2 linked regions of the Drosophila melanogaster genome follow. The protein of the gene in region 1 purifies or fractionates together with the protein of each later gene. This does not show direct contact. Each region holds a gene or a part of one and is shown in the gene's direction. Other genes may lie near its edges.

Region 1 (7,783 bases):
ATTCTGGAAGAGCTCGCCTTCGTTCCTTGCTTTTGTAAATAAAGGTGCAGTCATGGCGGCGTGTCCTTTGGCAACACCCCTTTTTCACCCGTTCTCCCGCCAGGACACCAACACATACACACACACACACGTATCTGTGTCAGGTCGCTTGCAGTTTTCATTAATGTTGCACCTGGGCGAGGAGTTCGTCGAGGTGCAGGTGCAATCGAGAGGGGAGACATGTGGGAATGGGACGTAGACAGAGCAGACCAGGAACAGGATCCTCCGAACAAAGTAAATATGAGTGCGTTGTATATTGTGCTGCAACCTTAGGCGGAAGGACATGCAATTTGTTGTTGTTTGCCTTTGTTGTTACGCCAGCTATCGCTCTCCCCCTCCGACAACCGCTGGCCCGCATGACTCCCTCTCGCTCTCGCTCGCTCATCATGCATGCTGTTTGCTTTGTCTTGTCCTTGTCTGCCGGCGGATGGAAAGAGACGGGACGCATTGCTGCTCTTTGTTGCACCTAAATTGACAACAATATCGTTTCATTTGCTCACTGAAGTGAACTCATCAGTGCCCAAGTCCTGCAGCCTGCTGCCCACCAACAGCACCAGTCCCCACCCATACAGATAAAATAAATACTTAAATATATAATATAAATAATTGATCCCAATTCCACCGAAATTCCATTCAAAGTCCTAAGCTTATCTTTAAATCTATTAACTCCAATATATTTAACAAATAGTTATTAGCAAGTGCTGTTACTCGCCTTTTTTTGCAGTGCATCCCACACATACCCCCACAATGCCACATCATTTTTTGCCAGCTGCTGCCGCTTGATTATATTGGCTCTCAGCGAGGAGGACAATGTGTCCTATTTGAAGTTTTAGTGGATCTCCCCATTCCTGATTGCTGATGCATGGATGCGATTCCGCTGCTCCCTCAGAAATTTAGCAGGCAACAATTTAAACAAATTCAATTGTCGGGGGAAGAGAGGGCCGAGCAAAACTCATTTACACTTTTGCCTGCTGTTGCCCATGGCAAAAAGCACAAATAAGTAAAATATGAGCAAAAAAAAAAATATGTACACAATTTTTGCAAAACGAAAATTCTTGAGCTTAAAATTTGCATTTGTTATTACTTCGTCGGTTTGCAGTGGCAATTGTTGAATATGCAACAATGCCCCAGAACAGAACCTCTATTCCCCGCCATCACCCTACCTCTTCGAGCGCAATAACTCGGTTAGCAGATTTAATTCCAAGCCAGATTCTGATTGTATTACAATGTGGGCGGCAGCACGCCCCTGCCATTTGAAAGTGGAGGAGAACAGAAATATACGTAGAACATTTTCATAAATCATAAAATTTTTGCTTGGCAAATGAACTGAATTTGCCCCAAGTTGTTGAGCTAGGGTAAATGTTTTGTAGGTTGCCAAATGTGTGGAGATCTGGGCGGAAATTAAAGTAAATTGAAACTACTTTGCCAATCAGTTGTAAAATAAAGATTTGCTTTCACCGAACTTCATTAATCATTTTAGAACTATTTTTAAGTGCTTTTAAGAGCCAAGAACTGAAGCTAGAAATACTAGGAAATATCTTCCACTTTTTCGTTTTACATTTTTATCCTAATTTCTGAAGTGCATTTTTTATTCGTCGAGTTGGAGTTAAGCAAATTCCTGCAACAATATTTTCTGTGCTACCAAATTGGAAACTTTTGGTTTTTTGCCTTTTCGCAAAGTTTCTAATACCGAGCAAGTAGCGAATGCCGCTCATCAGACTGCTGCCACGCCCCCCGGAATCCCCGACGCCCACTTAACCCCACAGTGACCCAGACTTTTAAACACCTCTGACAATATGTGCAGAAAGTTGATAACTGGAGAAATGTTCTGCGCTCGAGTTGGTTAGGAGTTGTGGTAAACTTTACCGAGATGGACTCACAGCGGGTGGTGGATGCTGAATGGCAGCATGAGGTGGCCAAGGTCAGCGGAATGTCGGGCCATAATCGGCTTGTTTAATTAGCTCACTAAGCCCCACCTGGATGGGCATTATGTGGCTGTCGGAATAAGATGCTCTGATTGAAAGTGCCGCGTGGCTTGCCACAAAAGCGACAACTAATTGCCACATAATCAACAACAGCACAGCAGCACAAGCAGCCGCAAAAACAAGGGACAACTAAAGCCCAAGGCCGCAGGCGAGGTTTTTGGCTGGTTCTAGGCATGTGGGGTGGTGGTGCGGGTGTCACACAACTGAGTGGGTGGATTTTGAACACTTGCGCTTTTTACCAACTCAATTTACGCTAATTACTGCCTTTCGCTCCAGCGATAACTGCTGTCAGCTGGCTTGCACCCCGCCACTTTTCCCGGATTTTCATCATCCCGATACCGCATTCCCTTCAAAGAGCGGGAAATCCCTTAGCCGGCTACACAGTTTCCCATCTGCCACGCATATCCATACGCCGCGCGAATTTATATTGTCATTAGCTCTTTTTGTGCCAGCTTCAGTGTATATTATTGAAATCCCTGCCTTCTGGCCATATTATCCAATTCGCTGTTAAATCGTGGAAGAGCTAGTCTAAGAGCACCAAAGAATTGTTCAGTGCATGCGCACTCTTTGCCAAATTCCATACAATTTCTCTTTGATACTGACCTAAGTCTGTCAGTCTTGCTCAAGATATTGTCCAAGGCAGACGGTTTGCTTCCCTTATAGAGACGAAGTACCTAAATATAAATAAATGAGAACGTAGCATGCACAAAGCGTATATAATAATGATAATTTAATATTAAATTATCTAAAATAAATGAATATGTTCTTGGGAAAAATATTATAACTTTTCTCATTTATTAAAATTGAACTTAGGATCTTATGGAAGTATATGAAATAACATAGTTTCCTAAATTCAGTTAAGTAAGCATATAAGCAAGTAAAAAATAAATGGGATCAATAAGACATTATGTTGTTTTTGGGTTTTGCTATAGTGATTATGTTCTTTTTATGATCCTTCACTCCCTCAACCGGATTAATTCTTTTTATTTCAAGTTTCAACTAAAATGGCTTAGATTATTTTTTTTTAAGAGACCTATAATAAAGCACTCTAGCTGAAACATAAACTGAAATATTACTCTGCTTTTAAGAACTGGAATCCCTACGTGTCACTTAACTTCACTGCATTAAAATTAACTTAACCCCTTAAAAACAGGATCGTAAAGTCCGCTTTTATTTGCTTTGCGAACATAATTCGACCTCAAAAAACACCCTGCTGCCACTAAAAAAATAATCGCGGATTTCCAAAACTATTTGAAACCTTTTATTGTAAGACCTTGAAAGTGAACATAGTGTTGTGATTAAAAGAGAAGAGGAAATTAAGAGAGATAAATGCGGCGAATTCAGCTGAAATGCTCGGCACACGATTTTTCCGTCCCTCTTTTCCAACGACTTTTCCCGAGCCGAAGACAACAAACCCGAAGCGTCGCTGATAAAGGCTCGTATGAGTTCGGGAATCCCCCCCGGAGGCCCCAACAAATGCTCCACTGCTGCCAGAAATCAGTTTCAGTTTCTGTTTCAGTTTCAGCGCGACATCGACGGTGAACGAAAGGCGAAGGCGCGGAAAAGCGCGTGAAAATCCGAATAAAAAGTTGAGGGAAATGTGAGGCCCAAATACGTGAGGCGCGACATTTTCCGGACTATAGTGTATGTGTGTGTGTGTGCATGTGCGTGTGTTTCTGTGACTCGAGGCTAGAGAGTGTGAGTGCAAACGGATAAGAAAAGCGGGCACAATTGGGTCGTAAATTTTGGAAAACGTGTGAAAACGCAGGAAAAGCCTCATTGCCCCATTGCCGGCAGTCGAAAATTGAATGACCTTTTGTCGCTTTTTTTTTGTTATTCCAGTTACTGTTACTGCTGTTGCTGCTATTGCTCTTATTGTTAAGCTAAAACGCTTTCGGCACGCGAATATTTTACGACATCGTCTCCAAAAATTATACACCTAAAAAAGAAAAGTAATCAGAAATCTAACGAAATTCGGTGCGTGTCAGCTGCTTGCCAAATGTGGGGCCAGAAAAAATGCAGGAAAAGAATTCTGTCTGCGGACAAACAAATTATAAAAGTGTTAAACGCCCACACAACGTCCTCCAGCCCCGCCCCTTGGCCATCTCATTAGCATGCAGCAAATTAAGTTGTTTTATATTTAGACCGCCAAAGGGGAGCCCAGACCCCAAATACAAATTAACAAATTAAAACAACACACAAATGCCAAACAAAAAACAGAACCAAACCATCTTTGATCTGCGTCAAAACAAAAAAAGCGCTGCCACAAATATCGAGCGTTAATACATTCATTTCTGTGTAATCTAATATTCCGGCCGAGGGGAGACACTAAAAGAATGTGACAAAAATTAATAGAAAACCCATAAAATATTAACGGAAAACAAGTGTGCATTGAAATTTACGACAGACTGATCACAGTGCGTATGCGCAATGTGCGTCGCCGCAAGAACCGAAATATATCTCTCGTATGGGTATGATAAGATGTTGTGGCTGTTGGGGAAAATTAAGTTTCCTTGGGAAAAAACTTTCGCTTGTCTCAACTGCAGTTGTTGATGGAAAAGTTTTGTCGAGTGCCAAGCACTTTGGCTTTTCAACGATTTTACTTTTGCCCGCCCCAGCACCATTGTGTTGTGGTATCAACTTTTGAGGCCACGAGCTTATGTGCAATCCTTGCCTGACATCCCCAAACACAATTAAATTGTTTCCTTTCTTTGTTCTCGCACATAATGCCATGTAGCCAATAAAATGTGAAACCCTTTCTCAATAAAATATTCATACAGCAGGAATTAACCGGCACACAATGGGGCAGAAACAAAAGCAAAGATTGCCCACGGGCATTGGGTGGGTGTGGGTAGGGCAAATTAAGCCCACCCGGAACTAGAGTTGCCTCCTAATCACAGTTACTAAACATTAGAGCAGACACTGCCCCCAAGCTGAGAGGCAAAATGCAGACGCTTACAATTAGAAAGAGTGGCAAGAGGACTCTCAGAAAGAGAGGGGGGATAGTGGCAACGAAGGAGATGGGAATAGTAGCAATTGAGTGCGTTAACACTTTTGAGAGACATTGCTGACGTTGGCAGGAGTCTCAGACTCCGTCCCTGAATCCCGAATCCTTCCCTCGAGAACCTGGCCCTCCTGGTTCGCACATTCTGGAACCCCTGGCCCCTCCCTAATTCCATTACGGAGGCAACAGTGACAAGTGGCCAAGGATTCCAGCCAGGATTCCCAACAGGAGCAGCATGTCAGCAGCAGCCACTTCTGATTGAAGTCGCACACAGAGGTTTCTGCAGGCAAAAAAATTAGAGATCAGGGATCAGATCCTTTTTAAGGATTTGCTTTAAAACTATATATTTTTTAAAATATATACATGAGATATCGTATAAGCTGCTTAGCAATATTGCATTAAAATGTATATTTTATATCAATGATTTATGATGGCAAGAGTTTGTGCATTGATGATTCATAAATTTTTTATTGTTTGAAGTTCTTTTTTGAAGTCCTTTTATAATATTTGTTTATTTTTAATCAATAAATCTAAATAATTGTTATACAAAATCTTATTCAATTGTTTCCATTATACATAATTAGTTTCCATTGTTTCATGCGAAAATCTTTCCATTGTTTCACTGTACCGGCTGATTAATTTTTTCTCAGCATGTCGAATGAGTCCTGCAGTTGAACTCAGACCTTAATCCCATCCCCCTACTCATTAGTCTGTCTGTCGTCTCTTTGGTGCAGCGGAGTTTGCAATTAATTAAGTTTTAATTAATTTCACACAGTGCAAGAGGGAAAAATTCGAAAGGAAAACACACACCGTGTTTCAAGGGGCGTGTGAAAAAGGCAATTCCCCAGCAAATGTTTAACAAATTAGATGTGAGGAGAAGTGCCCGAGTAGCATAAAAGTTTTTCCCCTGGGCAGGGCAATTGATTGATGCCAAAGTGAATGGATGGATGGCAGCAGGTCTGAAAATAGCCTCAGCCGGAAAATGGGGCGTTACTGCTTTGAACAGTTCTCCAAAAACGACTCATAATTTTGGGGTCGTGGGGGCGTTGAATTATTTTCGGATCCGGACACATGCCACCGAAGTTTTAGGAAATGAAATATGCAAGGGCAGCTGACCAGAGACACTTCAATCCAACTTCTGTCAAAAATTGATTCTGGTTTATGCATTAACCATTATTAATTGTATGATGTGAGCATGTCCTTCAAGGGAAACTGGATTGGGCGTGTAATGTTCTTCTAATTTGTGGTGTAAACTTTTGTGCGCTCATGGAGAGGGAAAAGGATTCCATTTTAGGCCACTCACCTATTGAAATCAATAGTGGATTGCTTAGAGAAAGAGCTGTTTTATTGGTTAGCAGAATTTCTAGAATCTCTTCGAGAAAATCCTTGTTTTTACCATAGTTTATTATCCATTAAAGTCTGTTATTATCCATTATCAGCCCTAAAATCAACACAAATTTAATCAATTCATGTTCCACGACATCAAGGGTGATGCGACGAAAAAAAAAAAACAACGAGACCCGGACAAATGAAATTCCTTTTAAAGCTCTTTAGCCCCAGACGAAAATCAATTCTTTTTGGGTACGTTCCAGGCGGAATGAAAATAAAAAGTTGTCCATGGAAATGCGAAACGAGTCGGGCAACAAAAAATATTATTTCGGCCTAGGACGAGCCAAAAGAGCAAACACAAGTGCAACTGCAATTGCAACAAGCAGCAGCAACAACAGCGGCAGCAGCAACAAGGACGAAAAACAACAAGGACGATTCTGAAAAAGTTCAACAAACGAACGTTAAAGGATTAAATTGTCTGCCATTGATATTAAGTGTTTTAAATGTCATTGCAAGTGTTTAATTCACGCGAAACGAAAAGAGAAAATTGAAAACAGGCGCAATTGCAGAGAGAAAAATTTGCATACAAAGCTACAGTCTTAATTTATATTTATTGCGCTGTGTAGAACTATCTTTTATAACGTTTTTTAATTTTACAAAAATTGAAGATAATTTTTGTAGGAATAGCAATCTTCAACCTTTTTTGTAATAATTGTAATAAAAGCTAATAACGCAAGCATGTTTTAAAGCGACTTATAGTTTTTCTCTCTGTAGATGAAGCTAATAGAAAGGAAGACTTAAAAAAGTGTTGTGAGTGAAAAAAACGAGTTCAAAACAAACATATATTGCCGTAGATCAAAACTCGCAAAGCCAAGTGCGAATTGATAGGACAAAGGCAAGCCTGATAAAGTGAAAGAAAAAAGAATCGAAGGAGAATTTGAAGCAGAGTGCAAAGGTTGTTGCTGCAGCCCTAAAAAATAACCACAAATCGAGTGGGTCATCGCAAGATGTTGACCCTGTGGACGGCACTTTTCTGCTGCCTGACGGGTAAGTCAAATTCCCCACAGGATCCTGCCAGCACACACAACTCATCCCATAAAGCGCAGTCTGCTTAAGCATGCATAAGATTATCAGCAATATATATACCTATTATATACATATACAATATAGGCCTCCATCAACCCGCTCAAGGTTGTTATTGTTGCCGCCTCGCCGGGCGCTGAATCCTTTTAAAAACATTTGTGGTTCGGGCTGCGAAAATCCTGATTTATGTTTCTGCCTGCTGCGTTGTCCTTGCAATCCTGTGCTGCTGTTCTGACATGGCCACTGCCAACCGCAGCAGGAGCAGTGAAAGCGATGGGTACACGCAGAGGAAAGTCTAGTACTGAACTGATCAAATAATAACTTTTTAATAACTTACTATTAA
Region 2 (7,239 bases), on another chromosome or scaffold:
AGAAGATGTGCTGGGATAAAGTGATTAACCGATTGTTGGATAAGTTGATCTTCTGAAGGTTCTTCAGGGGTCGAAATATGGTGGTGGGCAGATCCTCCAATTGATTGTCCGATAAGTTGAGTTCCTCCAGTTGAGTGGCCAATTCAAAAGTGTTGCTATCCAAAACTCGCAGGGCATTACCTCCAAAATTCAATCTTTTCAAGTTCTTGGCACCATCAAAACATACACTTTCAATTTGCTGAAGCTCACACTCCAATACATGGAATTCCACAAGTTGAGGAAGGTTCAAAAAGATTTTTCTCGGCAAATTGGCCAAATCGGAGCTGTGAAGAACGAGAGTTTCGTACTTTCTCAAATGTTTAGTCACATTTTCTGAGAAGTAGGCAACTGCTGAAGCAGAAGGGTATTTCAAATTCGTGCACGTATTTTCGCGGCAATCCAAACTATCAATTGCAATTTCCTCGAGTTTTTGTGACTCACAAGTCGCAAAAGCAATCACAGCGATTAAAATATAGTTCAGATAGTTTAGCATCCGCATCTTGGCTTTAAAAGACTGAGCAATTTTTGGCTTGGGGGGCATTTTAATACAAAACCAGAACACAACCTTCAGAAACCAGCCAAAAAAAAAAACAAAAAAAAGCGAAAACAGGTCTTTAGGCGCTAGTTTGTTTGTTTGTTTTTCTGTCGACCCCCTCCACAATCTGGTTCGATTTTTTGTCAATAAAATTTTATTGTTCCTCTCAATGAATATATTTGCTTTGTTTTTGCTTCTACGATTCGCTGGGAAATATTATCAGGCTTTTGTCATAATACCCGGCCGATAAGCACGATCTCGCGATCCTCCACTTCATAACACATACTCGTAGTTATGGTTTATAGTTTATGGCCCAGTTGTGCCAACTGATATGGAATGGCTGCTGTTTTGTGGACGATGTATTGCCATTGCAAAAGTAAGCCAATGTATGGCTACATTACGTCTGGCCTGTCGCTCTGATAATCATGGGAATTGTTTACAGCAGTTAATTGAGATTAATATCTTTTGATGGACTAAGGACTGCATATGGTTTCGATTGAAACTTTAACTATCTTAACTATCTTCACTTTCTTAGCTTGATTTCTTATCTTTAAAGCGAATAATGTATTTCCCCGCATTTGCTGCATCTAATTAAGCTATAAATATGTTCATAAAATCAGTCTACACTGATATAAACTAACTTGTTTCGTAGCAAAAAATTGGATATTATTTATAAAGCCATAGTTATTGAAAGCATTTCCGCCTTAGAACAAATTTACAAAAGCACTTGGACATAAACTTGCCAATTTGAATGGCAATTAGCTCATTTTCCAGTTATATCACCATCTAGTTGCGTCATCATTGCAGTCAGATGGGTGGAACAACCTTTGGATATCCTGAGCATTTAGCGTTCGAATGACCAATAAACCCAATGAAATAAATCAAGTGCCATAAACCGACGGCGCCATATAAAAGCACCCACAATAGAGGCGTAAAATGGTGCGCTATATGTTCTGATTTAATATATTTCTATATCGCATTTGTTTACACTGCTAAACTATTGGGCGAATTTGATTTGAATAAAGTACAGACGGCGGGGACAAAGTCTCGACAGAATAAAAGCCTGGTAATTTTCACTCTTTGTTTTTTTTTTTTTATTTCTCGAAACTTGTATGCAAAGTAATTGCGGCAAATTGAATTCAACAAAGGGGGCACAGGCGAAAAAGTGAAAAAAAGACGCTAAACGAAGTCATGCCGTTTCAATTGAGATACAATACACAGCTACAATAGATACAGATACAGCTATGGCAAATGCCATGCAAAGAACAAAAGTCGTCTTGAGTCGAGTAATTTAAAAGCCATTGGCTCATAATAAGCCCAATGCAAACAGGCAGATCAATTGTGAATACATAAAGTGAAAAAAATTAGCCATCGATATTCAAATTGTTTGTTTGCCCAGGCGGCCAAAGCCGAGAAAATCCCAACGCAAACGAATGGAAAATTAATTTTTAACATTTCAACAAGCGTATAAATTTGTTTGCATACAAATTAATAAGGCTCTACCTGTCATAATCTTTTTGTTTTCGCCCGCTAAGCTGCAACTGGCAAATTGAACGACTGAGAAAGCAGGTTGAACGTGTTCTCAAAACCGCTGGCATGTTGGCTAAATAATTGGCTAAATATTTTACACATTTTTCCACTGGACATGTCACCGCTTCGCAGGCGAAAGTTCTGGTTTCGCTATATTTACGAATGTTTTTCGTGTAAAGGTGCCTACATTCTTGCCTGATTGCTTTAAAAATAAGACTAGGAATAAATGCAGACGACAAAGTAGTTAACGGAAGTTCGTTTGCTCTTATCAAACCGAAACTCAAATGCCCTCCACTGAATTGTTCGCCTGATAAATAATGAGTCATTCGGGCAATCATCAGCAAAACTACACAACGCAAGGCAGTGCCAACAAAATGCTAAATGGCTGTTGTGTAAATTATATAGAAGGTATTTTAAGCAACGTTTCCACGCGCCTATATTTTCGATGGTAAAAGCCAAAGATGGATGGGCCCCAATGAAAATACTCTTACATAAAAATGGGCGAATGTCTGGCCTCATGTCCACTATCAGCAGCCAAAAGAGATTTCCACCTTTTGTTCAGCAAATCGCTAAGTAAACACTTCATGATAAGAGAACACACTGGAAATGAGTGGGAATTGCTCCACAGATATTGTACAAAGTTTTGTTTTTTTTTTCAAAGTCTGTGAGTTTTGAATGGAGCCAACAGAGCGAGAACTTCCATAGAGCAGCAAAAAATCATGAATAATAAACGGAAAAGCAGCACAGACAAGTGTCAAAATAATGATAGGTACAAAAAAAAACAAACCGATTTTCATCTCTCTCGTACAGCAAAAGATGTTAATTTCTTTTAAAAGGAGTTCCCAGACAAATAATTGTAATTAAATCTATTAATTAGTCAGCAGTGATTTCCAAAGCATCTCAATTCTTCGAAATAGAAATAGTATTTCAATCCGATTTCAAAAAAAAGAAAAAAACCCTGCCTTACATTTTCGAAATGCGCTGTACCCGCCACAGATGAACCATATTTATTTTCGCAAAATCAGAACACCATGAATAGAATGGGATGGCAATTATATAGAACTGATGATCGTTATTTGAGCATTATAGAGGAGCTTATCTGGCCAGGCGTTTGGCGGTCAACGTTTGGAATCAGTTTCAGGTCGAACGTGAATCGTGGAGCACGCCAAATGTACGTCCGGAATTGTCTGCCGTTCCTCTGCAGCTATTTGCTGATCTCATTGGCGGCCACAGCTACTACGGATGAGGACGCGGATGCTGATGTGGATAGTGGCTCATCCCGAATAGTGCTGGTCTCCAGCTTGGAAGGTCATTGCCAGACGGAGGGCAAGGTGACCAGCTGCAGGGGCTTTGAGTTTGCGGGAGAGGACGAGAAGGCCACCTTTGATCTGCCAACGGAGGTGCGGATTGCCGAGGATGGCACCACCTACGAAGTGGGCGATGAGGAGCACTCGCGAACCCTGATCTTCGAGAACTGCACCTTCACCAATTTTCCCCTGCGCTTATTTTACACACTAGAGGTCAGTGAGCTGGACATGCGCGGCTGTGGCATCCGCTTCATTTACTGGGAGAACTTCTCCATTGGTGCGGATAAGCTGGTGATTCTTCTGCTCAGCGATAATCACATCGAAGTGCTGCCCACGAAAACCTTCAGGGGAGCAGGAAACTTGGAGTTTATCTTCCTGAATCGCAACAAACTAGGCAAACTGCAGGCGGGTGCGTTTGATAATCTCCTGAAATTACAGTACCTGGATCTCACAGAGAATCGCCTGGAGGCTTTAGCCGCGGACGTATTTGCCGGACTGAAGAGTCTGCGGCACGTGGGACTGGCCGGTAATCAACTGACCACCATTGAGAGCGATTTATTTGCCCACAATCCGGACCTTTTGTCGGTCGCAATGCAGAACAATCGACTGCGAGAGGTGGGCGAGTATGCCTTTCGATCCCGCGGACGACACCATCAGATGCAGTATGTGGATCTATCGAATAACCCCGAGCTGGTCGTTCTACTGCTGAACATTAACGCCACCAATTTGACCGCTCGCAATTGCTCGCTGGACCGTGTCAATTTGTACGGATCGGTGACGAATGTCGATCTGAGCGACAATCGCGTGCGCGAGCTGTACTTTCCCGCCTCCGAGGCACTGGAGCATTTGGTGCTGCGCAACAACTCGCTGGTTCAGCTGGCGTCGTTGAGCCGCGTGCCCAGACTCCGGCACCTGGATGTGGCGGACAATCCGAACCTGGGTCAGTTGCCCGACGGTTGGCGGACGCCACATCTGGAGATGCTGGTGCTGCGGAATACGGGCCAGATGGAACTGCCGCTGGAGGCGTTGCAGGGTATGCAAAATTTGCAGAAACTTGACATATCCGGCAATAATTTGACGGAAATCGATCCATCCGCGTTCCCCACGCTCACGCAACTAACGCACTTCTATATTCATGGAAATAACTGGAACTGCTTCAGCCTGAGAAACATAATGGATGTGCTCATTCGTGCCAATGGCATTGCCTATACCGTGGATAACTACGATCCCGATTTTCCGGGGGAATACTTTCACGGAATAGCCTGCATGTATCGCTTGCCCGAAAAAGAGGGTGTGGACTCCTCCTCCTCTTCGGAAATCTCCGCCAGCGTAGAGTCCTCGCCCATAACAAGTAGTTCTGATCCCAGCGAGGTGGACAAACTGCGCGATGAACTGAAAGCAGTGGTGCAGCACTTTGATTCCAAGTTCGATTTGATATTCAGTAAACTGGCCCAATTGAATGAACAAATTCAGGCCTTTGAAGTGCTCAACAAAACTGTTTGGAGTCAAGTGACCTTGTCCGTTTGAAGTTGTTAAATATGGCCCATTTTTTATGTGATCACTACATTTTCAAAGCTTTACAATTATATGTATACATTATAATTAATATTTGAAGTATTTCCTAAAGCTTCTTAATTTTAAACATAAAATCTTTCGATCCAATAAATAAATCATTTTTTAAATTGTTGGAAGAATTCCACTAAAGAATTCGCGTGTATGTTTTTTTTACCAGTTCTTGATAATATACAAAGTTGGAACCATAATCTAACAAAACAGGAAGGCTTTTCGTCTTTGTTTAAGATTTAGTTTCCTAGAATATCATTTTTTTCTACGCCTATTCAATTCCTAATCTCGAAAACAATTTCTGCTCCATTTCCCTGCTGATTTTGCATACTCAACCCCAAAAAACCAATACAATTTGCAACATGAGCACATCTAGTAAATATTTATTGCTCGCTGTGTCGTATACGTAGAATAATATTTAAACAATAATATTGATTTTCGAGCAAAGCAAAGTTGGGTTCTTTTTCTGAAAGATATTGAAAGAGGTTCGTTCAACTCGGGCTGGCGAACCAAAATGGAAAAACGAGAAGAAAACTGGAGGGCGAAGACAAGATGGTGGGGCTCGGGGAACTTGAGTTGAATTGAACAAAGTCAAGTCAATTACAAAACCAATATTTTCGGAAACTAAACAACAATATTGAATTCGATCGAATGGACCAGAAACCGAGTTATTTTATTGCCATCTGCTAATGCGAACAGTTTTAATTATTTATGCTTTATCCCTTCTATTCGCTTACTCGCACATTTATGGCTAACTAATTGCTAAGATAAACAAACAGTTTCGATTTCAGTGCAGCCACTTCGTAAGGACGGAAAGTAGAAACAAATCCAATTTCACGGATCTCGACGATCACTGGTCGATCTGCTGATCCGGAGTATCGTGTGCATGTGATTAGGAATAAATCCATACATACATATGTATATCCATTCGAACACGAGTTTCAAATACGTTTTGTTTACATTGGCAGTGCAATTTTTGTTTTAAGGTAATTGGCGGCACACAAATCGTGGCAGCTGTAAGTGCGAACATTCAATTTTACCATATAGTGCGACTGACTATCTGCGACTTCTAGTAGTTGTATCCGCAGATCAAAGTTCGACATTTCCTGATTGCCAACTTCAGTAGCTATCTTTTTTTAATTTCTGGGCATTCGCTTGAAGTGTGCTTACTTAATTAGTCAATGTCTAAAATGTAGTAGGCATCGTGATAGGGTACTTTTACATTTAAAGAAATCCACTCACGATTTTATAACCATAACTTCAAATGAGTTTCGACAAAAAAAAGTCGTATGAAGAATTCAGGTAAGACCCTTTGAATTGTTTTATGTTATTATATTTTACATTGCCTGATTTAATACTGTTATTCCTGTTATTGATACTGTTATACACTATCTATTACATAATTGATCGCTTTTATTAAATGTTTTCTAAATATAAAAAAATTTAATAAAATTGTTTACACATTCTGAAAATCTAATTATGAAAAAATTTTGGGCGATTTTGGGTATTTTCCCAGCGTCGCCGCGAACTGGGGGAATTTCCCACCCACTCAACTTAGTCACCGACACAAAAGGCAGATGAAAAGTTTCGGGGAAAATCAAACGTCAAGCGCTCATATCAACACAAAAAGAAAATAAAGGCAGTGAAGTAAATCAGGTTTTCGATAATTATAAAAAGAAAATAAATTGTCACCCACCTTTTGTGTGTTTTTATCAGTAATTGGATGTTTCTGATTCGCGCTGGCAGATTGCAGAATCACAATTGTCGAATTTCGGTTAAAAAATTAATTTCACGGACACAGGAACGCATACACACATCCGCACATTCACGTACACACTAACACACATTCACGTTCACCTGAACGGGTGGAAAACAAAACTTTTGTAAACAATTTCGCGATTAGGCATTTAGCTGCGCTAAGAAATTATTGTAAATAAGAAGAGACGTAACGAATTAGCTGGTTGTGTTGGCGCATTATATGTTATATATATGTTATGAGTGTATATTCAGAGATTAGAGCGAAATTATAATGACGACTTTTCGCTGGATGTCCAAACACTTTCGAGGTGTTGACTTTTCAGATTAGATTACAGCACTCATTTCACTCGGCTAATTATCAGCCATTTGGTTCAACACCAAATAAATCACAAAACACGAAAACACCAGCAACAACAACCGAATCGATCTTAATAAAAGCAAAGAATGCGAGCCATAAAAATCAAGAATCAAAATGAAAATTTATTCGGGCGCGCGCTTCCACTTTGG

What was found. The genes of interacting proteins can lie anywhere in the genome.
Region 2: the proteins of dpr10 (region 1) and cDIP purify together in Drosophila melanogaster (affinity purification with western blotting; 2 studies listed by BioGRID). This does not show direct contact.

What each region holds. Positions count from the first base shown.
Region 1 is NT_037436.4:10,181,864-10,189,646, reverse strand, and holds the start of dpr10 (defective proboscis extension response 10), read left to right. Parts: upstream 1-3,538; 5' UTR 3,539-3,722; intron 3,723-7,116; exon of another isoform or gene 7,117-7,131; 5' UTR 7,132-7,364; coding exon 7,365-7,404; intron 7,405-7,783.
Region 2 is NT_033777.3:21,157,089-21,164,327, reverse strand, and holds cDIP (common Dpr-interacting protein), read left to right. Parts: upstream 1-3,235; 5' UTR 3,236-3,273; coding exon 3,274-4,938; 3' UTR 4,939-5,090; downstream 5,091-7,239. Other genes in the region: CG5810 (uncharacterized protein), read right to left, coding at 1-538.